Linked DNA regions of Sus scrofa. The protein of the gene in region 1 interacts with the protein of each later gene in a pairwise test. Links are inferred from orthologs where the notes say so. Each region holds a gene or a part of one and is shown in the gene's direction. Other genes may lie near its edges.

The links.
Region 2: the proteins of FATE1 (region 1) and INPP5K interact in binary tests that used the Homo sapiens proteins (3 or more experiments, as listed by UniProt). The link is inferred for Sus scrofa from reciprocal best matches to the Homo sapiens genes FATE1 and INPP5K.
Region 3: the proteins of FATE1 (region 1) and GPR25 interact in binary tests that used the Homo sapiens proteins (3 or more experiments, as listed by UniProt). The two-hybrid records come from large-scale screens. The link is inferred for Sus scrofa from reciprocal best matches to the Homo sapiens genes FATE1 and GPR25.
Region 4: the proteins of FATE1 (region 1) and SEC22A interact in binary tests that used the Homo sapiens proteins (3 or more experiments, as listed by UniProt). The two-hybrid records come from large-scale screens. The link is inferred for Sus scrofa from reciprocal best matches to the Homo sapiens genes FATE1 and SEC22A.
Region 5: the proteins of FATE1 (region 1) and MARCH5 interact in binary tests that used the Homo sapiens proteins (3 or more experiments, as listed by UniProt). The two-hybrid records come from large-scale screens. The link is inferred for Sus scrofa from reciprocal best matches to the Homo sapiens genes FATE1 and MARCHF5.
Region 6: the proteins of FATE1 (region 1) and CCDC155 interact in binary tests that used the Homo sapiens proteins (3 or more experiments, as listed by UniProt). The two-hybrid records come from large-scale screens. The link is inferred for Sus scrofa from reciprocal best matches to the Homo sapiens genes FATE1 and KASH5.
Region 7: the proteins of FATE1 (region 1) and MARCH2 interact in binary tests that used the Homo sapiens proteins (3 or more experiments, as listed by UniProt). The two-hybrid records come from large-scale screens. The link is inferred for Sus scrofa from reciprocal best matches to the Homo sapiens genes FATE1 and MARCHF2.

Annotation. Positions count from the first base shown.
Region 1 is NC_010461.5:123,104,833-123,108,885, forward strand, and holds the start of FATE1 (fetal and adult testis-expressed transcript protein homolog), read left to right. Parts: upstream 1-1,253; 5' UTR 1,254-1,318; coding exon 1,319-1,421; intron 1,422-2,361; coding exon 2,362-2,480; intron 2,481-4,053. UniProt on the Homo sapiens protein: Involved in the regulation of endoplasmic reticulum (ER)-mitochondria coupling. Negatively regulates the ER-mitochondria distance and Ca(2+) transfer from ER to mitochondria possibly implicating it in the regulation of apoptosis.
Region 2 is NC_010454.4:47,735,741-47,739,727, reverse strand, and holds the start of INPP5K (inositol polyphosphate 5-phosphatase K), read left to right. Parts: upstream 1-1,187; 5' UTR 1,188-1,395; coding exon 1,396-1,442; intron 1,443-3,259; coding exon 3,260-3,367; intron 3,368-3,689; coding exon 3,690-3,798; intron 3,799-3,987. UniProt on the Homo sapiens protein: Inositol 5-phosphatase which acts on inositol 1,4,5-trisphosphate, inositol 1,3,4,5-tetrakisphosphate, phosphatidylinositol 4,5-bisphosphate and phosphatidylinositol 3,4,5-trisphosphate.
Region 3 is NC_010452.4:23,367,965-23,371,120, forward strand, and holds GPR25 (probable G-protein coupled receptor 25), read left to right. Parts: upstream 1-1,237; 5' UTR 1,238-1,356; coding exon 1,357-2,454; 3' UTR 2,455-2,656; downstream 2,657-3,156. UniProt on the Homo sapiens protein: Orphan receptor.
Region 4 is NC_010455.5:137,195,199-137,198,698, reverse strand, and holds part of SEC22A (vesicle-trafficking protein SEC22a), read left to right. Parts: intron 1-3,223; coding exon 3,224-3,339; intron 3,340-3,500. UniProt on the Homo sapiens protein: May be involved in vesicle transport between the ER and the Golgi complex.
Region 5 is NC_010456.5:103,869,879-103,874,107, forward strand, and holds the start of MARCH5 (E3 ubiquitin-protein ligase MARCH5), read left to right. Parts: upstream 1-1,429; 5' UTR 1,430-1,757; coding exon 1,758-1,792; intron 1,793-4,229. UniProt on the Homo sapiens protein: Mitochondrial E3 ubiquitin-protein ligase that plays a crucial role in the control of mitochondrial morphology by acting as a positive regulator of mitochondrial fission and as an important regulator of immune response.
Region 6 is NC_010448.4:54,490,489-54,493,988, forward strand, and holds part of CCDC155 (protein KASH5), read left to right. Parts: intron 1-1,902; coding exon 1,903-1,980; intron 1,981-2,205; coding exon 2,206-2,262; intron 2,263-2,506; coding exon 2,507-2,566; intron 2,567-3,294; coding exon 3,295-3,359; intron 3,360-3,500. UniProt on the Homo sapiens protein: As a component of the LINC (LInker of Nucleoskeleton and Cytoskeleton) complex, involved in the connection between the nuclear lamina and the cytoskeleton.
Region 7 is NC_010444.4:70,861,678-70,864,564, reverse strand, and holds the end of MARCH2 (E3 ubiquitin-protein ligase MARCH2), read left to right. Parts: intron 1-1,580; coding exon of another isoform or gene 1,581-1,604; coding exon 1,605-1,739; 3' UTR 1,740-2,387; downstream 2,388-2,887. UniProt on the Homo sapiens protein: E3 ubiquitin-protein ligase that may mediate ubiquitination of TFRC and CD86, and promote their subsequent endocytosis and sorting to lysosomes via multivesicular bodies.

The DNA of each region.
Region 1 (4,053 bases):
CTCTGTTGGAGCCGGGAGGCACTTCTCCAGGGCCCTCAGGAATGCAGGCAGGGCCTTTGTCCGCTCCGACCTGATCCTATCTGATCCAGAGAGCTTGCTCCCCACGCTGGACAGATGGGGCTGGGGAGGGGGTCAGGCAGCCCAGGTCTTGCCACCCTCTCTAAACGAGTCTGGCCCCTCCCTTTCCTCTCCCTGCCCTTTCCTTCCTCCCTTCCTCTCCCCCTCCCCTCTTCCTCCTTGGAGCTCGCTGGGTTTCTTTAACAAGATAGCCTCCTCTTCCCCCAGGGGCTTGGGGGCTCATCGTTGGTGGTTGCGTCAGGCAGGGGTCTCCAGAGAAATGGAGGCAATAGGATACATATATGTGTATGTGTGTGTACATATGCATGTGGGTGTGAGTGTCTGGAAAATTTTATCTTAAGAAATTTGCTCATGCCATTGTGAGGCTAGCAAGGCCAAAATATGCAGGGCAGTTCAGCGCATTGGAATCTTCAGGGTGGATGCTGCAGTCTTGAGCAGAATTAATTCTCTGGGAGACCTCTTTTCTCTTAAGGTCTTCAACTGATTGGACGAGGCCTACCCACACCATCGAGGATTAGGCCCATCTTTTACTTCAAGCCCGCTGATTGTAGGTATGGACAACAGCTACAAAAGACTTTGATAGCAACACATAGACTAGTGCTTGATGGAATAACTGGGCTCTAGGGGCTGTAGGCAGGTCCCTACTCTCTTGCCTTCCCTCCTTTGGCCCTAAGGGTTCCTGTGCAGTCTGACCCAGGGCCTCAAAAGGCCATCTGCCCTGCCTGGGAACTCTGGACTGGAGGGGAGGCAGGGCATGCTCTACAGAAGATGCCTTCTGAGGGGGGTGGATTACTGGCCAGAGACGGCCTTGCAGGAGCCATGACAGACCCGGGATGTAACTTTGCTTTGGCCAAAAACTGGCTCTGGGGTACTGACCCCCCCCCCACCTCTTTCTAGAATTGATGCAGCGTGGAGCCTGCCCGTGCCCCTGTGGGACCAAATTGGGTGGCCCAAGAACCAGGGAGGTTCTCACAGACAAATGTTCCAAGCCTTATCTCTTCCCCTAAGTTACTTACAGAGTAGCAGGGAACAAAGCCTCGAACCCAGCCAGCAAGATACAGCAGGAACAGGAGGTGCTGGGTCCAAGGCCTGAGTGCAGAGGGGGAGTCTGGCTCCACCCCCATGTCCAGATATATCCTTGAGCTCCCACCCGTCAAAGAGCTGATTTTCCCAGAGCGTCCTCCGTGCTCTGCTCTCTGTGCATCCTTGGCCACCGCTTACAAGTGAAGAGCTGGCTGTGATGGCAGGAGGCTCCACTAACACCAAGAAGATAGAAATGTCCTTGGCTGAAGAGCTGGTTCCTAAAAGCCAGGAGCCTAGCCGCGAGCAAGTGCTGATAGCAGGTGAGGAGCCCCTGAAATGGACCTTCCCTTGAGTGCCTGCACCTGTGTGTGTGTGTGTGTGTGTGTGTGTATGTGTGTGTGTGTGAGTGTGTGTGTGGGAAACTGTGCATGAGTGGCTTGGCAGATACTCATATCTGCATGTATGTTGATGCATGGATTGGGGGTACGTGTGTGGGTGGCCTTGGTTCACGTACACATATATTTCTGGCTTGAGTGACAGGGGAGTTGGAGAGAAAGGGATTGATGATATGAGGGAGGTGTCTATTGCAAAACATTCCCAAGGCTCAGTTTACAAGATCAATCAAATGATTTCTCTCTCCTAACTCTCCAATACCTTCTCCTGCCTTTTAGAGTAAAATCCAAAGTCTTTACCATGATCTACAAGATCTGATCAAGGTCACCTCCTCCATGTATTTCCTGCTGTTTCCTGCCTATGTGGCCTGCTGGCCTACTGTACATCCCAAGATTGTTTCTGCCTCACAGCCCTTGTGCTATAGCTGTTCCATATACCTTGCAGGCTTCTCTAGATTTTTCAGGGATGGACTCTTTCAGGTCTGTGTCGTAGTGTTGTTCCTGACTTTTCTAGACGTAGCCCCTTCTTTCTGTCTTGTTTTTATTGATCTGAATCTACATGGACAGAGTATTTTCTGCCACCCTCATTCTCCCTAGAAATACACGGTCAGTCTCCTGATTGCTGTCATCTTATCTCCTGGCCGTTGTCCTCTCTTTAGTCATGTAGCCCAGAGCTTTATGCTCGGTAAATACCTGCTACATCTTGAATGGATGAAGAAACTGAGACATGGGTTTGGCCAGTGGATATCAGTGAATGGGTGTTTGGTGATTCCTGAGAAGTTCTTGTCCCTTTTCCGGTGTGTCCTGTGCCCATGAAGCTTTGGTATAGCTGTATGTGTGTTCCTGGGACCTCCATTTTTCTCCCTAGAAATGTTGGAGCATGGAATCCGGTCCCTGGGTGCTTCTCAGAGCCGTCAGAAGTTGGATTCAAAGATTTCCGATTCTGCTGCAGCTTGGAATTTGGCTGCCAACAAGTCCAAGAAAACGGTACTATATGGGGACCTTGGTACATGGTTGGGTTTGAGAGTAGCAGCTATAGGGGATCTAAGTCTGAAGATGGTGAGGTCAAGCAAGGCCAGATGTTGAATTAGGGGTGAGAGAGGAAGCTCCTGTGCAGTAGGCAGGGAAATGAGGGCCACATGGTCCAACAAGAGGTCAGGACTATTTATTGTTAGGCTAGGAATTCAGTATTGAAAGTACAGAATGCTGAATTACACATTGCTTGGGGAGTACACATATACCGTATTCTGTGCAACTCTAAAGTGTGTGAAATAACACTTTCTTTTATTAATAAATAAATACATCTGTATTTATCACCACATATGTATATCTATATATCTGTATTTTCCCAATATATCTTATATTTTGTTTTTATTCCTGTATATAAATGCATTTCTATGTAGAAGTATATAAAATATAAAAATATATAAGCATATACAAATGAGATATACGTACAAATAAACATATGTACATCTGTATATCTTAGGGATGGGACAAGACTCAGGCAAGTGAGATTGCTATGCTCCATGGCCATTAGGAAATCCAGTCATTTGCATCTGAGCAGTTTGTAGCCAATTCTTTAAGCTACACTCCATATGAGTGAGGGAATGTTCTCGAAAAAATGGTGCTTCTACTGTTGCAAAGGATACTGGGAAAAGGCAGCCATTTTGGAGCAGCTCTAGGGAATGAAGTGAGTCCTTGAGTGCCATCATTTTGTAGCCAGTCCTTTCAGCTACATTCACCTCCGGTGGGGGAAAGCTTTAGAAATATGGTGGCTATATTGTTGCAAAAGTTACTTGGAAAAGGCAACCAGGTTGCAGAAGAGGACAACCGGCCTGTTGATGGGGATCATGTGAGTCTCATGCTCTGTAGCCAATCCTTTAAGCTACTTTCACTGTAGTTGAGTGAAAGTTTTAGAAACCTGATTTTTAGACTCTGGAAATGGTTACTGAGGGAAGGCAACCTGGTTGGAGAGGGAGGGAGGCTTGATGTTCTAGAAAATCACCTGAGTCCCATTGTTCTGCAGTGCATCTTAAGCCTCGTTCACCTTCTGAGGAAACGTTCTAGGAAAAATGGTGGCCATTTTAGGGAGGGGGACGCGTGACTCCTCTAGAAAAATCACTGGAGTCCTTGTTGTTTGGCTGATTCTGCCAGCTGCATTCACCTTGGATGAGGGCAATTTTTAGAAACACGACTGTTAAACTGTTGCAAATGCTATCCGGCAAAGGCGGCCCCATTGGGGAGGAAGGAGATCTGAGTCTTCTAGGGAATGGGGTATAATAAATACGGAACTGATTCCAGCCACAAATGAATAAAGATAAAAAGAAGTCCCAGGTCACAGACCTTTGGGAATGAAAAGAAGCCATAAACGTTGAATTGGCTTCAGGTGTTCAAAGGCTGAAGCCACATCAAGTGGCTCCACTAGCTCAGGCTTCAGTAAGCTACGCATGCCCTGAAACTGAGGTGGGATGGGATTGGGGAGGGGCGGTTGAGGGAATTAGTTCATCTCTGATGAATTAATATTACCTCTTCAAACCAAAGGAGTACACTTTTAACAAAT
Region 2 (3,987 bases), on another chromosome or scaffold:
CCTTGTTTATTTCATGTGAGTTTGTGCCTTTTTGTCTCAATCTTCCAATACAGATATATTGGGGGAAAAAAGCAGTCTAATAAAATCCTAGACAGAGCTTTCTGGAGTCCAGCTTATTGGTGATGTCCTTCTGTCCATTTTACAATTTAGATATTCTCCAACTCTGGCTGACATCCCCCATTTTACCAAGGAAGGACTAGAAAAGGTACAGGATATCTCCGAAAAGTTGTGCAGGTCTATTTCCGTAAATTAAAACATCCCCTTATTTTATTTATGCAGATATCCCATATCTGAATGTAACTTGACCATTTTCTGCTGGCAATATTTCCTTTTCGCTTTTGTCTTCCCTCTTCACATTCCGCCCCTTTCCCATCCTACCAAGCAAAACATTTATTTAAGAGAGCCCTTACCCTGGCTTTTGGGCCTGGGAATCTCATGAAGCTTGTCTGTAAAAGTGTGCATGTTTCTGGGGAAAGTCACACCAGGTCACACCAGTCACACCAGGCTCTCACCAGGTCTTCAAAGGAATCCCATGCACTGTCCCACCCCTCCGTCTCCCAAATGTTAAGAACCAGTGATTTGAAGGAAATCATAGTTAATCTTTGGCACAGTAAATATTCACGTTTGGTCGTAAAACAGAGGCAGCGACTTAGTTTTCATTCAGTGATGGGTAACTTTCGGAGTTCAGGAGCCCCTAAACGTCCAATGTGTAATAGTTTGCATGAGTCTGAAAAGCTGGAAACACTTGAACATGGGAGTGGAGAATGGAGGCGCTCAGTGATCAAGAGGAGAGATGACCTGTAACGGGGGCGGGGGGGTGGGGGACTGGATTATATAGGCCGACAACGGCTGGGTTGCGCCCCTTCGCCCCTCTGGGCATTGAGAACCTGGACGGAGCGATGAGGACCGAGGCCCCAGACCACGTTCAGTAACAGTGAGCCTGGGCACGCAGGAGAGCTTCGCTTGGGCGTGGCAGCGACTTCCGCCGGAAGACGACTCCTCCCGGCCGGCCTTACGCGAGGCACCCTGGGAGCCGCGGGGGCGGTGTCTGGATCGCCGCCCCGCCCCCGCCGGGCGGGGCAGTGTTGCGTCGGGTTCTGATGACAGGAGGACACGCCCCTTGCGTTCCCGCGTCCCCTTGGCCCCTTTCCCCTCCGCCTTTCACCGTTTCGCGCTCGTTGGAGAGTCCCGCCTCTTCCCCCGGGCCGCGCCACCCAGAGCCTTCCGTGCGCCTAGGCCCCGCCTCTTACGGAAGCCGAGGCGGAGGGTCGGAATCCGGAAGAAAAACAATCGAGCGAGTGAGCTGACCGGCACCTGCTACCCGATCGGGACAGATCAAGCCAGGATCCGCTGAGGCTGGGAGACGCGAACCAGCCGGGGCACCGCGTGGGAACGATGGCTGCCACGAACCCCCAGACCGAACCGAGAAGCAGGACGCTCAGGTGAGGAAGGCGGCTACAGGCAGGCCCGCCTGCTCCGGGCGGAATCACTGCCTCCGACTCAGTTGGGGCTGCGGATCTGGGGCAGAACCAGACTGGGAGAGAAGGGGCCAGACCTACAGGGCTGCTTCTAATTCAGAGGCCTCCCACATTCTCCCAGGTCGGTACGAGAGGGCTATGTTGGGCTTGAACCTCGCGCCCCCTCCAAACTTAGGCTGCTAAGCTCGTTCCCTCTTGGGGGCTCCAAGTAGGTGTTCCAGTTGGCTTCTTGAGGAGGCAGCAGTGTTGAGCTGTTTGAAGTTAAAAACATAACAAAGCATTCACTCCTTAGCTTTGGAGTAGAAATCTTATTCTTTGGATCAGCACATACATCATGGGGTCTGCCTGATCCCGTTGTGACCTCCTGAAATCCGAAATCAGATTTGGATAACATCCTTTAGTGAAGTGATAATAGCCTGGTCCCATGCTTGCTCTTTAACGAGGAACAACGCTAATCACCAGCTCAGAGCCGGTCACGATGCAAGGATTTGCTGCTAATCGTCCTTCGTAAAAGTGGGAACCAAAAATCCCGGCTTTGGCTCTCCATGCACTTAGAGCAGGCCCCTGGAAGAACAAGGAGCCTTGCAGTGAAAGGGCTGCCTTCCTTCCTCCTCCGTTGGACAGCAGGGGGAGATCGTAAACAATCGAAGCACAGAATCTCTGGCCGAGGGCCTGGGAAGGTGGTTTTTGTATTGTTTTGTTGATGTTCGTAGGGAGGGGCAGGAAGTTGCTGTACGCTGGCCAAGAATTTCTTGCAGTTGTGCTTTTTAGAACATGGACCTCGAAGAACAGCGTCTGGTGGGGAAGAGATGTTAGGGACATTCTGTCCTTCTCTCCCACCCCCCACGATGGGTCGACTGCTGTTAGAGATTCGCCTCCTTGTGATGTGCCTAGGAGTCACCTGAGGCTTGGTGGCTCTAATTGGTCTCTGCAGGGTTCGTAGCCCCTGCCTGCCCTGTACTCCACACAGTCTGGAGGCTTCCTGGGAGCGCTGCTTTAACTCTTCAAATGAAGAGATTTGCGAGTCTGTCCTTCCCCGGAGCCTCAGATGGGATCCAGTGTTATTGAGAGCTTCTGATTCGATGTGTTGCTTCCCAAGTGTTTGTATGAACATGGAAAATGTTATCCAGCTGATGACGTTTCCCAAAAGAGGCTAGACTCTTGAGATGTTGAGAAACTTGTTATTTGGAATCTTCTTAGGCTCTCTGAGATGCTTGGCAGAATTGGTTATGCTCCAGGAAGGAGTGGGAAGGAAATGTGGTGTCTTTATCTCTGTTATTTTTGAAATTCCTCTGTCTTGTAGTCCTAAGCCATCTCACAAGGTGAAAATTGAAACCTCCAGAATCTCTCTGGTGGTGGACGGAACCCATGGATTGAAGGGTGGGGAGCTGGAAGTTGACTGACCCATAGATGACTGCTGAGGTGTGAAGGGCTGGTGGAATTAATAAATCTCTGGACTCTCCACCCCATCGCCACCCCTTCCCTCGCCTGACTTTTGGGCCACGCTGGTAGCTCTCCTAGTGTGCTGGCAGCTCTGCACTGGCGTTGCCAGGCACAGGCAGCCATGGGCCTACACAGAGGAGCCAATCCAGGGTGGGAATTTCCTGCTTCAGGGGATAGAGGTGAAGGGGCCCTGTGCCCTCCTCCAGATGCAGAAACATGCGTTTCCCATTCTGACTCCGCCGACTGTGGGATTGTGGTGCAGCCCTTCGCCCACCCAGCCCCCGGTCTGGTACCTGGACGACATCTCATCCTCCTTCCTCCGTGGCTTCCCTTCTCAGCATACATGTCGTGACGTGGAACGTGGCCTCTGCAGCACCCCCTCCAGACCTCAGTGATCTGCTCCAGCTGCACACCCCGAACCTGAATCTGGACGTGTATGTCATTGGGTAGGTGTCTGCAGGGCCCGTCCGCCACCCCTGTGTCTGAGCTCAGGTAAGCCCGACCGGTCCCAAGTTGTCCCCGTGGGGAACCGCTGTCGCCTGGACACCCTTGCTCTGGGGCCTGAAGGCCTGGAGCTTTCAGGCTGCGTCAGGGCCATGCAGCGTCTGTTCTCCTGGGTCATAAAGGGCAAGGGGCTGCCCATCATCAGCCAGGGGAGGGGAGACCACCGTCACGAGAACCCGAGGCCAGCTGAGGGCAGGACTAAAAGTCCGAGGCAGAGGCAGGGCCCTCCTGGCCGGGGGAAGGCCTCTGACCTGGGATGGGCAGTTTGCAGGAAATGAACTGTGGGATCATGAGCCTCCTTTCTGACACTGCCTTTGAAGACCCGTGGAGCAGTTTCTTCATGGATGTGCTTTCCCCTCTGAGCTTCGTCAAGGTAACTTACAGTTCACGGGCACCTGGGAAGTGTGTCTCCCCTCCTGCACGCATCCCTAGTCCCTTGGTCTCCCTCTCAGGCTCTCGGGCTCTTTCCCTTTTTTGAAAGGCCCCAACCTCAGGTGCAGTCGCAGCTGGTTCCCTGGGGCTCCTACCTGCCTTGTGTCTTTCCAAGGTAGCTGGAGCTGAG
Region 3 (3,156 bases), on another chromosome or scaffold:
GGGAGAGGTTCTGACTCCCTCTTCCCATCCAGAAGCAGCTACTCCCTCCTCCCAGCTCCCTAAGGACCATTAACACGACAGCACGGCTGACCTTGAACAGGCATCCTGCACCTGGATCTAGCTCCTCTGCTGAATCAGTGACACTGCCCCCACAAGGTCAAAAAACGGGCATCTGTCGCTCTCGAGATACCCCAAACAGTGCCTGCCACATGGTGAGGCTATTAAGGACTGAATCAAACAAAACAGATAATTAATCCGCTTCAAAGTTGTAACGCCAGGTTGCCCAAGGGGTCATTCATTCCTGGTGATGACACACACTGTCACATCAGTTCCGGAACAGCAGTCATGGGAGGACGACCACTTAAGAAGAGTGGGCACCCCGCCTCCAAACTCTCCTTGGGCCCACCGGCTCCTTCAAGGCCAGTCTGCACCCCCACCCCCCTCCTGAACCCTCCCCTGCCTCTCAGCCCATAGGGCAGCTCACTCTTCTTTGAGAGGCCTGACTTCCGACTCCAGATGTCGGAGAGGGACCTCAGGTGCTGAGTCAGGCATCTTCTGTCCTCTTTCATACTGAGCTCACATCTGCCTGTGGCTCCACAGGAAGGTTTTGGCGGATGGAGGGAGTCAGGGAACCGCTGGGATTTGAATTCCAGCTTTCTTCCAGACAGGCTGTCGCTCTCTCTTCAGCTTAAAACCCTTTCCCTTTGGCTCCACGAGAACCTGCCCTGGTCAGAAAAGCCGAGCTCTGGACTGAGACATTTAATCCGGCATCTCTGCAGGCCAACACCCCTTAGAGCCTGACTGGAGGTAGGCCCCGGGGGGTTTAGGCTCCCCCCACCCGATCTACTGTGCCCAGCTGGCACAGCTCCGGGTCCTGTCTCCTCACAGAGATGGGGAGCAGCATGAACAGGGGTGAGAGATAGTGGGAATGGGGATGGATTGGGGCGTTCCCAGCCTCCTGCACCAGCGTCAGACCCCTGAGGCATCAGCGACTGATGGAGGGAGGGACAGGCCAACCTCCCAGACCTGAGGACTTTTTCCCCAAGGCCCCCCACCCACCCTACCCCGAGCTGGGAAGCCCGCCCTGCCCGGGAGGCCAGCCCCAAATCTTCAGCCACGTCTCCGCCACAGGGGCCTGCCCTTCCCCCCTTCTCCCCTTCCCCCCTTCTCCCCCCCTTCTCCCCCTCCTCCCCCTCTCCCCACCTCCTCCTCCCCCACCCCTTCCTGCCCACCCAGTCGCTCCGGTCGAGGTGGCAGGAAGGGAGGTGCTGGGCACCGGCCGTGAAGAGCCATCCCGCGCTTGGCACCGCGTTTGCCCGCTCGCTCGGCACCGCGTCTGCCCAGGCCTCGCTGGCCATGCGCCCCACGGAGCCCTGGAGCTCCAGCCCGGCGCCGGCGTTCTGGGACTACTCCGGGTCGGGCGCCCCCGAGGAGCTGGAGGTGTGCGCGGCCCCGGACCTGCCCTACAGCTACGCCTACATCCCCGCGCTCTACCTGGCGGCCTTCTGCGTGGGCCTGCTGGGCAACGCCTTCGTGGTGCGGCTGCTGGTGGAGCGGCGCGGCCCGCGGCGGCTCGTGGACACCTTCGTGCTGCACCTGGCGGCCGCTGACCTGTGCTTCGTGTTGACGCTGCCGCTGTGGGCCGCGGCGGCGGCGCGGGGAGGCCGCTGGCCCTTCGGCGAGGGCCTGTGCAAGCTCAGCAGCTTCGCGCTGGCCGGCACGCGCTGCGCGGGCGCCCTGCTGCTGGCCGGCCTCAGCGTGGACCGCTACCTGGCCGTGGGCCGCCCGTTGGCCGCGCGCGCCTGGCGCACCCGGCGCTGCGCACTGGCCGCGTGCGGCGGCGTGTGGGCCGCGGCACTGGCGGCCGGCCTGCCCTCGCTGGCCTTCCGCGGGCTGCGGCCGCTGCCCGGGGGCGGAGGCAGCCAGTGCGGCGAGGAGCCGTCCGATGCTTTCCAGGGCCTGAGCCTGCTGCTGCTGCTGCTGACCCTGGCGCTGCCCTTGGCCGTCACCGTCGTCTGCTACTGCCGAGTGTTGCACCGCCTGCGCGGGCCGCCGCACATGGGCCGCGCCCGGAGCCGCTCTCTGCGCATCATCTTCGCCGTCGAGGGCGCCTTCGTGGGCTCCTGGCTGCCCTTCTGCGCCCTGCGCGCCGTCTTCCACCTGGCGCGCCTGGGCGCGCTGCCGCTGCCCTGCCCCCTGCTGCTGGCGCTGCGCTGGGGCCTCACCGTCGCCACCTGCCTGGCCTTCGTCAACAGCTGCGCCAACCCGCTCATCTACCTGCTTCTGGACCGCTCGTTCCGCGCGCAGCTGCGGCGGCGCGGGGCCTGCGGGCGCGGCGACTCCATGGCGCGCGGGAGCAGCTCGGCGTCCTCGCTCTCTGGCGACGACAGCTCCCCGTTCCGGAGCCAGGGCCGCTGGGGGCCCCGAGCCCTGACTTCCGCGGCGGTCGCGTAGCTGTGGGCAGCAGCGGAGCCCCGAGGAGCCGGAGGCGCAGCCACACGGGCCGGCCCCTACCCCCCACCCCGACCTGCCTCCCGGACCTGCCTCCCCAGGCTGCTCCGCCGGCACTGCCAGCTCTCCCAGAACCTCAGCTTTTCCAGCCTCCCCAAGCCAGGCGGCTGAGACCAGCTCTTCTCTCCTTCTGCCCAGTGGCGCCTGGTCTAATTGTCCGCAACCCAATAAGAGGCTTGTGCGATGGAGCCCACGGCAGCGGGGGCACCCGCGGGTCCCCCAAATCCGGGAGAAGAGAGTGGACCTGCCTTCTCTGCACCATCAGCGGTAGCACAGCCAGACCCGCAGAAGCACTCTTGCTTGTCTCAGGCTCTCCCTTCCAACCCCTACAATCGCCTCTGCCTTCTGAGAAATATCTTCTCCCAGTCAGACCCTCTGGCCCCTCACTGAAAATCCTATGTGGGACCTCCTACCTGCAGCCCTCCTTGGTGGCTGAGATCTTGGCATCATTACTCACCATCAGTTCAGATCTTCATTTGCAAAGCTCATCAAAGCGCGGGAACCAGCCTTGCTGGGGGCTCCCCAGGCCATTCCTCCTGGTGATTTCCCAGCTCCAGGCCCTGGGTTTATATCCCCACCCCTTCACCCCCACCTCCGCAAGCAGCACCACTCACCCCAGAAGCTCTCCTGCCCCATCCCTCTGGA
Region 4 (3,500 bases), on another chromosome or scaffold:
GGCTGCACCTGTGGCATATGGAGGTTCCTAGGCTAGGGGTCTAATAGGAGCTGTAGCTGCTGGCCTATACCACAGCCACAGCAACATGGGATCCAAGCTGTGTCTATACCACGGCTCACGGCAGCGGTGGATCCTTAACCCACTGAGCAAGGCCAAGGATAGAACCCGCAACCTCATGGTTCCTAGTCAGATTCATTTCCGCTGCGCCACAATGGGAACTCCATGGTGACACTATTTTGGATTCTATACATTTTATTTTTTCTACATTGCCTCTCATTTCTTCATGTCTTATTGTTCCAAATTTGCTCTACCTAACAGTACCTACCATGGTGCCACATTGAAGTGTGAAGTATTTGTGGATAACAATCTAAGATCTGTTTTAGTGAAAAAAAAATATATATAATGTAATACATTAAAGTGTGATTAAATATCTCATTCAGTTTGTTAAAATGAGAAAGTGTCCTTAGGAAGTGTCACCCTCACTGTGTGCAGATTTTTCTTGGTAACCATACCCTCTGGTCCAAGAAAGGGCTCGGATGGGAGCAGGGAATCTCCACTTGAGGATTTTATTTCTTGAAGTGATTTGGCACATCTCCAGCCTGTCCTAATGCATGCCTTGCCCTTGTTAAAGAAGACTTGTCATTTGCTTTCATGGCTTTAAAATACTTCTGGTCATTTTGAAATAATTTATACATTGTATACTGTCATTATGGAGAGAGTGCTCTAAGGGCAAGAGGCAAGTGTTAGAAACTTAGTAAATATTTAATTTGTATAGACATATTATTTATTTCTTAAATAGGTATTCATCAACACATAAAAATGGTAATATTTTTCCATTCAACAATGGCCATCCTTCGAGTTCTACTTGTGGCTCAGCAGTTAGTGAACCTGAGTAGCATCCATGAGGATTTGGGTTCCATCCCTGGCCTCGCTTAGTGAGTTAAGGATCCGGTGTTGTCATGAGCTGTGGTCTAGGTCGCAGATGTGTCTCAGATCCCATGTTGCTGTGGCTCTGGTGTAGGCCAGTGGCTACAGCTCTGATTCAACCCCTAGCCTGCGAACCTCCATATGCTGCAGGTGCGGCCCTTAAAAGAGCAAAAAGAGAGGGAGAGAGAATGGGCATCCTTTACTTGACCATAAAAAGTGAAGGTTTTTAATTTTAGTAAAAAGTGAAGGTTTTTAATTTTAATACAGAATATTATTTGGCCTTTTTGTAAGGTAACCTCGTATACTTTAGAAGTGCTTTTTCTATAATCTATTCGGTTATCAGATGGTTTTATACTTGAGGCCCATGCTAAAGATTTCTTTTTTACTTAGAGGCCAGTTCCCCCTTATGAGGAGGGGTAGGGGAGGATGGCAGGAGGGATTTAAAACATGACTAATTGGTAGATCAGTTAGGTGTGTTTTGTTGTTGTTGTTGTTTTGTTTTGTTTTGCAATGCCCTTGGCATGTGGAAGTTCCAAGGCCAGGGACTGAACTTATGCCACAGCAGTGAACCAAGCCACTGTAGTGGCAATGCTGGCTTCTTAACCCACTGCACCATAAGAGAACTAGATTTTTAAATTGTGAGATTTGTTTTCTCTAGTGATAGAAAGTTTGGTATCATTACTTTACAAGACATTTAATTTTTTTGTTTTCACTTTAAAATCTAAAGGAAATTGATTGGGAGACCAAGCAGTAAGCTTGGGCACAAAAAAAATTTAAGAGAATGTTATCCTCTATTAGCATTTTCTTTCTTTCTTCATTTTTATTTTATGATTTTTTTTCATTATAGTTGATTTACAGTATTCTATTTCTACTATACAGCAAAGTGACCCAGCCGTACATGTATATACATATGTATATTTTTTTTATGATTTTCTATTAGCATTTTCTGCTGAACTTAAAGAATAAATACTTTTTTGTGAAATGTGGAATTTTCTGTTTATGAATTGTTTCGGAAAGCTTTTCTGCTTTGAATATAAGTTGCAGAGATTTAAATCCTTCCTTATATTAATGCTCCACCTCATTAACTTCATTGTTAGAGCTTTTACGCTTCAGTGATTTAAATAAAATGATCTAAATGTAGTTCTTTTGTCTTCTCTTTCCCTCTCTCTCCCTTTTGAGGTCTCGATGGTTACGTATTTAGTTTTGTGTTTTCATTTAGACTCTATGGTTGATTCTGTTAACTGCAAGATAATGATGAAGAGAAGCTCTTATATAGCTAAATGTCTTGCTGCAGAGCCCTGGTAGATAGGGGAATGTGTTTGTAAAATAAACTAGTCACTACTTAAACTGTTGTTTTAGCATTTTTATCTTCAAGTGGTGTTGGGAGACCAGGAACCTTCTAAGAGTCCATTCTATTGTAGAGTTCAGATTGGGTGTGTGTGTGTGTGTGTATGCTTTCACACATATCCCATGGTATTTATGACCCCGATTGCGTGTGTGTGTGCTTTCACATATATCCCATGGTATTTATGACCCTGGAACCCAAATAAAGAAGGGCTTTGCTTAAAAGCAAGCTATGTTTGGGAGTTCCCGTCGTGGCTCAGTGGTTAACGAATCCGACTAGGAGCCATGAGGTTTCGGGTTCGATCCCTGGCCTTGCTCAATGGATTAAGGATCCGGCGTTGCCGTGAGCTGTGGTGTAGGTTGCAGACGCGGCTCAGATCCTGTGTTGCTGTGGCTCTGGTGTAGGCAGGTGGCTACAGCTCTGATTCGACCCCTAGCCTGGGAACCTTCATGTGCTGCAGAAGTGACCCTAGAAAAGGCAAAAAGACAAAAAAAAAAGCAAGCTATGTTTGTCCTTTAAAATGTTTTCTAAGCATTTTCAGAAAAGTGGGAATTATGCAGTGAATTTCTAAGCAAAGCCATCTTTGCAAATATTTGCATCTGCTTGCAAGTGGTAGACATATATAGGCGGTATGTTTTTTTCTTATATGATTTTTACTGCCAGGTGTGCGCACTCCTTAGCACTGTATACCCAAATGCAAGTTAGGTGTCTGTTGAAAATGTAGAGAAAAAGAAGTTAATTTAAATTGAGTTCAGAGGAATAAAGCTGTCATGTCAGACGTTTTGCATTTAAAAAAATTTTTATTTCTAAGTTGCATTATGAAATAATTTTATGAAGATTCATCTATATGTAACTTGTTTAAATTGAGCAGTAAATTTCGTTTTACTTAAGCGTAAGTATTGATGTGAGACGTTGATGTTCATTTCTAATCTTTTTTTTTTTTCCCCCCAGCTCACCAGCGACTAGAACCAGCAACTCTGTCAGGGATTGTGGCATTTATCCTTAGTCTTTTATGTGCAGCTCTGAATTTAATTCGAGGCTTTCATGCCATAGAAAGTCTCCTGCAGGTACTGTGCTATTTTTGCAGTTTCAGGTGACTGTGCCTATTAATTCTGCTTGTTACACTATTGATTTAAATTGATTTGGATGTTACCAGTGCATATTCAGATTTTGTATTCTTTATACCTACTCTAGTTTCCATTTCCTTTAAAAACACTAATTTCTAGTT
Region 5 (4,229 bases), on another chromosome or scaffold:
CTGACAATTGCTTAAGAGATAAACACACAGCAAGGGACTTAACACAGTAGGAGTAGCAATAAATAGGCATTCACAATATCAAACACCCTAAATTACTTATTTCTCTCCCCTATCAAGGGCCTGCTTCTCATTTCATGAGAAAAAAGGCGGAAGCATTAATTATAATTAGTCATGTAAATTTCTAAAGCCTTTCATAAAAGTATCTTTCAGAAATTGGAGGCCAAATAAACTTCTAGTCACATGTTATTTTTGTTTTTCTTCCTGGCAATGTACACTCTAGTTCAAATATATTCAGGACGCAAACTTTAAACAGAATTAAGAGCTGATTGTAAAATTCTACGTTAAAAAAAAAAGAGCTTAAAAAACATTTTGATTTGAAGAAAAAAAAAATCAAGCCTCTTGCGGCAGAAATTAGACATAATCAAGGGAAAACTACCAGACGTCGTACCAATCACTGCACTAAAGAACGCCACAGGTCGTCCAAAAGACGCATTCATTTTAACCAACAGCTCCTTTCCTCCCGCCAAAGCTGTCCCTAGAACATCAGAGAACAACCCAAGGAGCGATTTATGATTTTTCCCTTTTGATTCCCCCCCACCTCCATATCCATCCATCCACCTGCCTGGAGGTGTCAAGGCGCCTATAAATGGTTAACAGTGACCAGAAGCAGAGAGAGAAACAAACACCCCTGACAACCCACAGCTGAGTAAGCAAGAGCTGTTTATTCACGAACATGTTCCATTTGGAGACTATCGGAGAGCCCTTGAAAGCCCGGGCACATTTAGAAGGTTCCTAGAGAGGGAGAAAATAATCTTTCCCCCAATCCCACCTCCCCTCTCCCCTCTCCCCCACCCCATCCCCCGGGGCAAACATACACACTCGGGTGGGAACCATCTGGTCACGGCAGCCCCTGTCCTCCTGACCCCTCAGGAATAACACTAGAGCATCCGACCCTTTGCGGGGGTTGTGTAATTCCCCAAAATGGGTTCAGATGCGGCAGAGGCTGGCCCCTGCGCCGAGAGCTTCAGAAGGCGCTTCTGCCACCCCCACCCCCGCCACGGCCCGCCCGGACGCCGCGGCCAGGACTGGGGACCCTGCTGAGAAATGGCTCTTTAGCCCCCACCCCTCACCTGGCTCGGTCCCACCTGAGCGCAAAAGCGGAGAGAAAAGAAACAGGCAGGGAGGGCTGACCTTGATGCTACTGACAGTGGAGCGGCACATCCTGCTGCTTCCTGGAAAGCGGCCCGCAGGACATTTTTCCCCCTGGAGGAAGGAAACGGGAGGGCGCCGGCCGGGCGGCGGCGGGCGCAGCGGCGGTGGTCTGGGCAGGCTGTGCAGCCTCTAGCGGGGACGGTCCGAGGACTACATCTCCCAGGCTGCTCTGGGCCGCCTTGCGTCGTGACCCCGGCGCGCACGGAGGCGGTGACTCTTACCTCACAGAGGTAGCTCCTCCGCCGGCAGCAACTCGGCGCCCGCGGTCCATGGACCGGAACCCCGGGCCGACGGGCAGGAACCCGGGCCGCGATCGCCGCCTCCCCGCCCCAGGCTCCTCCTCCTCGCTCCCCACCGCCTCCTCCGGGCGCCCGCGGGCCGCGCACCGCCACCGCTGGGCTCGCGGAGCCGCCCCGGGAGGCTGGCTGGCGGGTTCGTGGCGGCCGCTGGACTGAGGCCTACTCCGCCGCCTCTCAGTGCTATTGTCCCTGGGCCCGGCCCTGACCGGGCCCACTGGGGAGGCGAGTGCGCCGGCTCAGCGGAAGATGCCGGACCAAGCCCTACAGCAGATGCTGGACAGGTACGGACAACCTTGGGGGAGGACGCGAGCCGCGGACTCTCGCTCCGGCCCTGCCGCGCCCAGCCTCGGGGCTCTTCGGAAGCGGAGCCCGGCGTGCTGGGAGGAGTTCCACGGCCTGGGGGCCGGGTGAGGGGCAGAAAGTTTGGAGCCCATACGTGGGAGAGGACAGAGCGGGTGGCCTGGATGCGTAGACCTAAAGCGAAACTTAAAGAGTGCCGTGTAGTATTGTTCGAACGCCGTTGAGAAGTGAGAGGGGTTCGTATTAACCCACAGAATTAGTTTCTTTTTCTTACTCTTCTCCCCTCCCCCCAAACTTTGTTGTAACGTGTTTGTCAGTGATGTCACTGGCAAGGAGAACCAGACTCTTTTCCTGGGGAGTGATCCCCCTCCAATTTTAATACTTATTCCAAGATAAGCATTGTTTTGGAAAGCCTGATAGGCTGATTACATTTCTCCTAACTCCCCCATCCCATCCCCACCCCAGGCTGTAAGGTCAAGAGTATCCGCAAGGGACTTTAACGGTCAGACCAAAGTAGAGGTTATGGAAAACAGCCATGAGTCCAACCCTGAACACTTAGCATATTTTACTATTCGTTGAGTTCACAGAGCAAGTTTCATCTTATTTTGGGGCCAGCTCCTGGGGGCTCCAGGGGGTAAAATTCTGTGAAATCGGCTGCACCGCCCTCTGCTGTTCATATTCTAGTCCGTGGGTTCTATCAAGAGTTTTTGGGGATCGGTAATCCACATTTCCCCCTAAACCAGGACATAACTTCCCAGCATAGCCAATGCTGCAGGCTAATAATGCATGTTTGGTTGCCTACACCTTTCAGTAGACCACTTGTCCCCTTGTTCAGCATGAGGTACAGCTCTTTGTACTGAGGGAAGGTCCAACTGGAAGGTGTTAAATGAAAGGCCTCGCTTAAATGAGATATACCCAATTAAATGCTGTTTGGATCTGCCCCACCCAGAACACACATCCCCCAAGAGTAGGCCTCCTTCCAAAGTGACAGACGTTTCCTTTGGAGCTTAGAATTTTGAGATGTCTAAGTTGATAGAAATCATGGAACTGACTTGTTTATTAGTTGGGGTGGCCCAGTGATTAATCCAGCCCTTGTTTGATGAGAGCATTCAGGTCTGGTTGGTTGTGTTGACTACTCCCTTCATGTAAGCAGTTTACAACCTCCTGGAAGATGGCAGCTTACTCATTATTTATTTTGAATCCCACATCAGAGCCTGGTACTCAGCAGGTCCTCAGTATATATGTATTTGTTTTTTGAACAAATGCATGAACTTTTTGGTCATTTTCCCCAATTGTCTAGGGGTTTGATAATTTACCATACTCACAAATTTCATAGGATACTGAAATATACCCAGAGAAGTCCACCTTTCTGCCACTGCCAGTTCCAATCAAATGAGACCCTATTCTGGTGCAGGGTATTTTGTAATTAACTTTTTTTTTTTCCTCTGAGGGAAAACCACTTTTATGTAGGTGACTTTTAGTAAACTTTTGTGTCTGACTTTCATATGTTCTTTGGAGATTTCCATAAAAGTTAAAAAAAAAAAAAAAAAAAAAAAAGAAAGAGAGAAAGAAAGAAAAAAGCCAAGAAGTACTAGTGAGGCATTTAAAACATCTCAACAGGAACTTGGAAATTCTGGCAGCATATACTGAAACAAGTGACTGTAATTCTGGCTTCCCTCATCTTCTGTACTTCTTGTATATACCCCAAGAAAGATTCTTAAGATGACATTTAGAGATCTTGATTATCTAATCAGTATTTTGCAACCTGGCCACATGTTAGCATCACCTGAGAAGCATTTTAAAATATGGATGGATTCCTGGCTCTGCCCAAGACCAGTTAGTTTACAAATTTCTGGAGAATGGGACCTGAGCATGTATATTTTCAGACACTTTTCAAATATTTTTTGTGGTTGAAAACCACTACAAGAGATAGTACAGCTGAATGAGATAAGCTTGGGCAGAAATCTTGATGTTCTTATTTTTCTGCTTACCAGCTATGTGACTTTGCACTCAAATTCTAAGGCTCCACATCCTCATTTATAAAATGGCAATATCCTACCTCACCAGATTGTATAAATGAAACATGTTTAAGCACTTTATAAACAATGAAACACTATTCATATGCTGTGCACACAGAAGGTACTTAAAATTCTAGTGTAACCAACCACTGTAGCAATCCCTGCCCCTCCCCCATCCTCTTCATATTTACTATCATCTTAATCTAGGCTGGCCCTACATGCAAATTGAATGCAAAGATACTTAATAGGTTGATTTGAGGAGTACTGATGGGCCCAAGAGAGTAAAATATGTCAACCTATTAGGGCCCAGATTTCTTGTCATGAATTTGGCTTACCCCCAGCTTTTCTTTGGGTGGCAATTTCTGAGGGGCATATTTAGCTAAGAAACTTGCCCTTGTGT
Region 6 (3,500 bases), on another chromosome or scaffold:
TGAAGCCAGTTCCCCCTTCTCACCCAGCACTGCATCTAGCTCAGAGGAGAGTCTGGGAGTTAAAAGGGCCAGACTTGGAATCAGATTTGGGTTGAGTCCACTTACTATCTGACCTCAGCCCCTCCACTGCACCATTTCCTCTGTAAAATTGGGGATGATGACAGTGTAAACATTAGCAGTTGGGACAGCCAGACTTGACATTCTTCCTGAATGGCACAGCATGACACATATAGCAGCACCCATGAAACCTTGCTGCCAAAAAACTGAACAAGAGAAATATTGAACAAGAGTCTAGACAAGGTCCAGAATCTACCCATCAGTTTATAGGAAATAATGAGGTGGGAGGAACGCGGTGAACATCCTGCACAGGAAACAAGAAGGCAGTGAACCAAGCTCAAATGTGCCAGTTCTGCAGGGAAAAAAAACCTGGTTTCTTCCACAAATGAAGAAGTGCCAGGATTGGGAAATTGGGAGGTTACCGTCAGATGAAAAGAAACGAGACATTTCAAACAAAAGCTATGGTGGACCTTGTTTGGATCCTCATTCAGACAAACTAAAAGTGCAAAGATATTTGTTAGATAACCAAAACGGAAAGAGTACTGAGTGGGTGATGATATTAAGGGATTATTTATTTATTTATTTGCTTTTTAGGAACGCAGCTGCGGCTTATGGAGGTTCACAGACTGGGATTGAATCCGAGCTGCAGCTGCCGGCCTACACCACAGCCACAGCAACACAGGATCCAAGTCACATCTGCATCTTACACCACAGCTCATGGCAATGCCGGATCCTTAACCCACTAAGCCACCAGGGAACTCCTAGAAATATCTTTTTAATATAACATATACTGGGATATATCTTTTTAATATTACATGCTCCCTTTGTGGCTCAACAGGTTAAGAATCCAGCTAGTTTCCATGAGGATGCAGATCCCTGGCCTCTCTCAGTGGGTTGGGGATCTGGTGTTGCCACAAGCTGCAGTGTAGGTGACAGATGCAGGTCAGACCTAGCCATTGCTGTGGCTGTGATGTAGGCCAGCAGCTGCAGCTCCAATTTGACCCCTAGCCCAGGAACTTACATATGCCACAGGTGTGGCCCTAAAGAGAAAAGAAAAAATACATATATATATATATATGTGTATATATATATATATATATGTAACATTTAATGAACATTTGGTATATGTCAGGCACTATTCCAAATGCTTTGTGCTCATTAACATTCAGAAACATGTATTTTTATGAATTCCCACCTGGGCCAGATTCCTCAACCTTTCTGTCAATTATCCTTATCTTTAAAATGGGGGATAAGGGAGTTCCCATCGTGGCTTAGGTGGAAATGAATCTGACTTGCATCCATAAGGACGCAGTTTTGATCCCTGGCCTCGCTCAGTGGCTTAAGGATCCAGGATTGCCATGAGCTGTGGTGCAGGTCGTAGATGAGGCTCAGATCCCGAGTTTCTATGGCTGCAGTGTAGGCCCGCGGCTGCAGCTCTCATTCATCCCCTAGCCTGGGAACCTCCATATGCCACAGGTGCGGCCCTAGAAAAGACAAAAAGACAAATAAAAATAAAATACGGGATAAGAAACAAGCTAACCCTGGCAAGGTGCTCAGTAAATGTTAGCAATAATTACTAGCTTATTTAATCCTCCCAGCCACCCCATGCGTCCTATTGTATCTCTCTTTTTGCAGGGAGAGGACCAACTCCGTCTGCAAGTCAAACTTGGGATCCCATAGGATGGTTGGATGGAGGGATTAAATAGGCTACAACATATAAAGAGATGAGCATGAGGCCCAGTGAACATCAAGTGCTCAGTAGATGTCGATATTGACACTCCATGTCAATAGAGTATTAACATGGCCATTTGCTGATGTAAATGTAACCTGGGTGCTTTCTTCTAGAACGGGAAGCTGCTGGCTGAGTGTGATGGAGTGAAGAGGAGGAGTGAGGAGCTGGCCACCGAAAAGGATGCTTTGAAGGTGCCACCCCTCCCTAGTGCCTTGACAACTTCCCACCGCCCCTGGAGAGAGCAGGGACTTCGATCAAGCCATCAGGTTCCCAGGTCTCATGGGCAAACCAGCTGAAATCCCCCTCAGTGTGGCTGATGTCCAGAGACATGGAGGGGGTTGAGGAGAGGGGTTTGGGAGAGCAGGGCGGGCCAGGGAGGGCAGGCCAGACAGACAGACTGACTCTTGCCTTGGCAGCGGCAGCTCTATGAGTGTGAACGCCTCATTTGCCAACGAGATGCCATCCTCTCCGAGGTGAGGGGTCTGGGGGAGAAACATTTGCCTTCTGTGTGTCTCCTGCCTGGAGTCTGAAAAGAGAAGTCCTGCTTGGCTCTAATCCTTGGATAGCAGTCCGGAGAGATCAGAGGGCTTCCCGGGAAACCGGGGCTGTCCCTCAGGCCCTAGCTCTTCCCCCAAGCCCGCCCTGCCAGACCCCTCCCCCCCAGCACCAGCCTTTGGTGGCCTAGGCCCAGTCTCAGTCAGCTCTGGCCTTTCCCAGCGCACTCGCCATGCCGAGAGTCTGGCCAAGACCTTGGAGGAGTACAGAACCACAACCCAGGTAACCCACCGGCGGCCTCACTCCCCCCACTTCTCTTTTGCCGTCTCTGGGGTTTGCTGCCTCTTTCTGTCTCCGTCAGTCTCTTTCAGAGTCTCCACGTCTTGTTTTTACTGTCTCTGCTGTTTGACTGTGTGTCTTCCCCTCTCGTCGCTTGGCCTTTTCACTTTTCCTCGGTCCCTTCCTTTCTCTCTCTCTCTCTCTCTCTCTCTCTGTATCTCCGTAACTCAGCCACTTGCATTCTCTGGGGGTGAATTCTCACCACAGCCTCCTATTTCTTTATCTCTGCCTGGCTTGTTTAGGTTCTCGTCTCTGCATCTCCCTGGGTCTAGTCTGTCTGTCTCCTGGGGTGACTCCCCTCTCTGTCTCTGGTCTTTAGAGTCTCTTATACCCCCTGTGTCTCTTGCCTCTTTGTGAATCTGTTTCCATCTGTGTCATTTTCCATGTGTTTCCAGCTCTGCCTTCTTTTCTGAATTTTCCTGGAGGGTAGGTTACCTTCAGGGTTCCTGTTGCTCTTTGCCTCTCTTTGGCTTCCTAAGTGTCTGTCGCTGTTTCTTCCCCTTCTCCCTTGGTGTTTGGAGGAGCCCAAAGAGGTCAAGGGAGGGGGTTCCCTGGTGGTCTGGTGGCTGGGATTCGATACTTTCACTGCTGCTGACCTTGAAAGAGGAGCCTGGGGGTGGGGGAATGGGGAAGAATGGAGAGCCAGTGGGCCCCCACTCCTTCCTTTGCAGGAACTGAGGCTGGAAATCTCACACTTGGAGGAGCAGCTGAGTCAGACCCATGAGGGTCTGGATGAGTGAGTGAAACAGTGGGGGTGGAGGAGGCAGAAGGGGACCCCAAAGACAGGGCCCACCGGCCTCCAGCCCTGAATGGGCAGTGCAGCGACCCCAGCATAGGCTGACTGACAGGTGGCGGGCAGGCTCAGAGGTAGCCTTCC
Region 7 (2,887 bases), on another chromosome or scaffold:
CATTGACACATTATCACCCTAAGTCTATAGTTTACATTAGGGGTTCACTCCTCTTTTTTTTGGCCACATCCGTGGCATGAGGAAGTTCCCAGGCCAGGGATTGAACCTGCCCCACAGCAGCGACCTGAGCCATAGCAGTGATAACACCGGATCCTTAACCCACTGAACCACCAGGGAACTTCCAAGGGTTCACTTTTGGTGTTGAACAACTTGTGGGTTTAAGACAAATGTATAGGAGTTCCCACTGTGGCTCAGCAGAAACAAATCTGACTGGTATCCATGAGGACCTAGGTTTGATCCCTGGCCACGCTTAGCGTGTTCAGGATCCAGTGTGGCTGTGAGGTCGAAGACATGGCTTGGATCCTGAGTTGCTGTGGCTGTGGTATAGGCCGGTAGCTGCAGCTCTGATTTGACCCCTAGCAAAAGCAAAAAAAAAAAGGCAAATGTATAATGTATCCACCACTAGAGTGGATACAGAAAATTTTCATTGCCCTGAAACTTGTTCTCTGTGATCTGCCTGTTCATCCTTCCATCCTTCAGCCCCTGGCAACCACTGATCCTTATACTGTCTCCATAATTTTACCTTTTCTAGACTGTTCTAAAGTTGGAATAATGCAGTCTATAGCCTTTTCACATTGGCTTCTTTCTCTCAGTCATATGCATTTAAGGCTCCTCCATGTCTTTTCATGGCTTGGTAGCTCATTTCTTTTTAGCACCAAATACCATTCGGTTGTCTGAGAGTTCCCACTGTGGTACAGTGGGTTAAGGAACTGGCATCACCTCTGTCGCAGCACAGGTTCGATCCCCAGCCCGGGAACTTCCATAAGTCAGGAGTGCAGCTGAAAAAAGAAAACAAAACAAAACCCAAAAAATTCCATTGTCTGGCTATCCCACAGTTTATTTATTCACTCACCTACTAAAGGACATCTTAGTTGCTTCCAAGTTTTGGCAGTTATGTGACCCATTGACACCTGGCCCCTTCCAAGAGGCTCTATCTGGGAGTTCCCTTCATAGTTCAGTGGTTAACAAACCTGACCAGGATCCATGAAGATGCAGGTTCAATCCCTTGGCTCAGTGGGTTAAGGATCCAGCGTTGCCACGAGCTGTGGTGTAGGTCACAGACATGGCTCAGATCTGGCATTGCTGTGGCTGTGGTGTAGGCCAGCAGCTACAGCTCTGATTTGACCCCCAGCCTGGGAACCTTCATATGCTGCCAGTGCAGCCTTAAAAAGCAAAAAAAAAAAAAAAAAACAACCCAAAACCCAAGAGACTCTATCACTTCACTGCCTCACTGCCACCTTGAGAGACAGAAAGGGAGCTCCTCCCCCACACCCACCCCCTGCTGCAGACCCTCTGCCTCTCCACTTTGCAGGGCCCTGAATGCAGTGGGGAGGTTCCCAGGGAGAGTAAATAAGTATTTGTGCACTGTCTTTGTGCCATGTGCCTGGACTTCTGGAAGCGGGAGCCTGGCCCTGGTTTGGGTCAAGGCAGGTGCTTCAGGGGCCCAGTTTTCTGCTCTCAGGGTGGGTGGAGGCTGGCTGGTGGCTGGCCCTCCCTCCCATCTCTGCCATGCCCCACAGGTCTCATTCCGCTACCATTGCCAGCTGTACTCCGAATGGAGAAGAACCAACCAGAAAGTGCGCCTGAAGATCCGGACCTCTGATGGCTCTGAGGGCACCCAACACTCCCCGCTGGCCGCTGGACTCCTGAAGAAAGTGGCAGAGGAGACACCTGTGTGAAGGCTGGGCTGGCAGGACCAGAGGCAGCTGGCAATGCCCTGGAATTTGGAAGGACAGCCACGGCCCGACCCTTCCTGCACGGCCAGAACGCTTCTTAGGCCAAGAGATGCCAAGCAGAGCCGATTCTGTGATCCCGTGCGAAAAAAATAGCATCAGATCATCTTGCACTGTCTTGTACTCGAGGAGGATGGATGGACGTGGTCCCGAGCTTCGGATGGACCAGGTACCCTGATCTCATTCTGAGGTCCACCTACTGGGCCAGCAGCCGTGGCCAGAGGCGAGCTGAGAGCACCTACTGGGCCGGGATGTTCTGCAAGCTTCTTGCACTTTTCCGCACCTGGCAGGCTCACTTTCCTGGCACCCTCGACTTTATAAAGTTGCACACCACGTTTCAAAAACCCACCCTGGAATGAATAAAAGGAGCCCTTGCTGGACAAAATGGACTTGTCAGTCACATGTTTCCGAGGCCTCAAAATGGGACCCTGGGACCCAGGGGAGGCAGGGACCACACAGGTAACAGAGCAACAGCAAATGCTCTCGGCTGGTTTGAGGGATCTGTTGTGAAACACAGGGCTAGAAGAAAAGTCTGGGTTTTCAAAGGAAGAGCAGGTAGCAGGGCCATGTATTAAATGATTTAAAATAAATAAACATAAGAAGCATAGTTTCCACTTATTGCATCTACCATTGGCAGGACACCATGCTGGGTCCTTTACACTAATAAACTAATACTCACCCTTACCCCTTACCTAGGGTCACCCTGAAGGGGTGCCCAGTTCTGAGCCTTAATGGACATCTTCCCTCTGACCCTCACTACCATTCTCAGTGGGAGGAATGGCTACTACCTCCATCTTACAGATGAGAAGACTGAGGTCCAGAGCAGGGAAGGCTCCATCTAGGGTCCTACAATGCTAGGAAGTGGAGTTGGGGCTGACCCCGGGTCTGCCTGGCCCTGGGGCTGAGCTTTGTGTGTCCCCTTCCAAGAGGACTCAGGAAAAGAAGCAGAATATGGTCATGATAATGACAGCATCCCCTTCCTGAGCACTTTCTGAGCTTTTTACCCTCGAGGGCATATGGAGCAACACCAGATCCCAGCCCCATCTTTGACCAACATGGTAATGCCAGATCTTTAACCACTGAGGGAGGCCAGG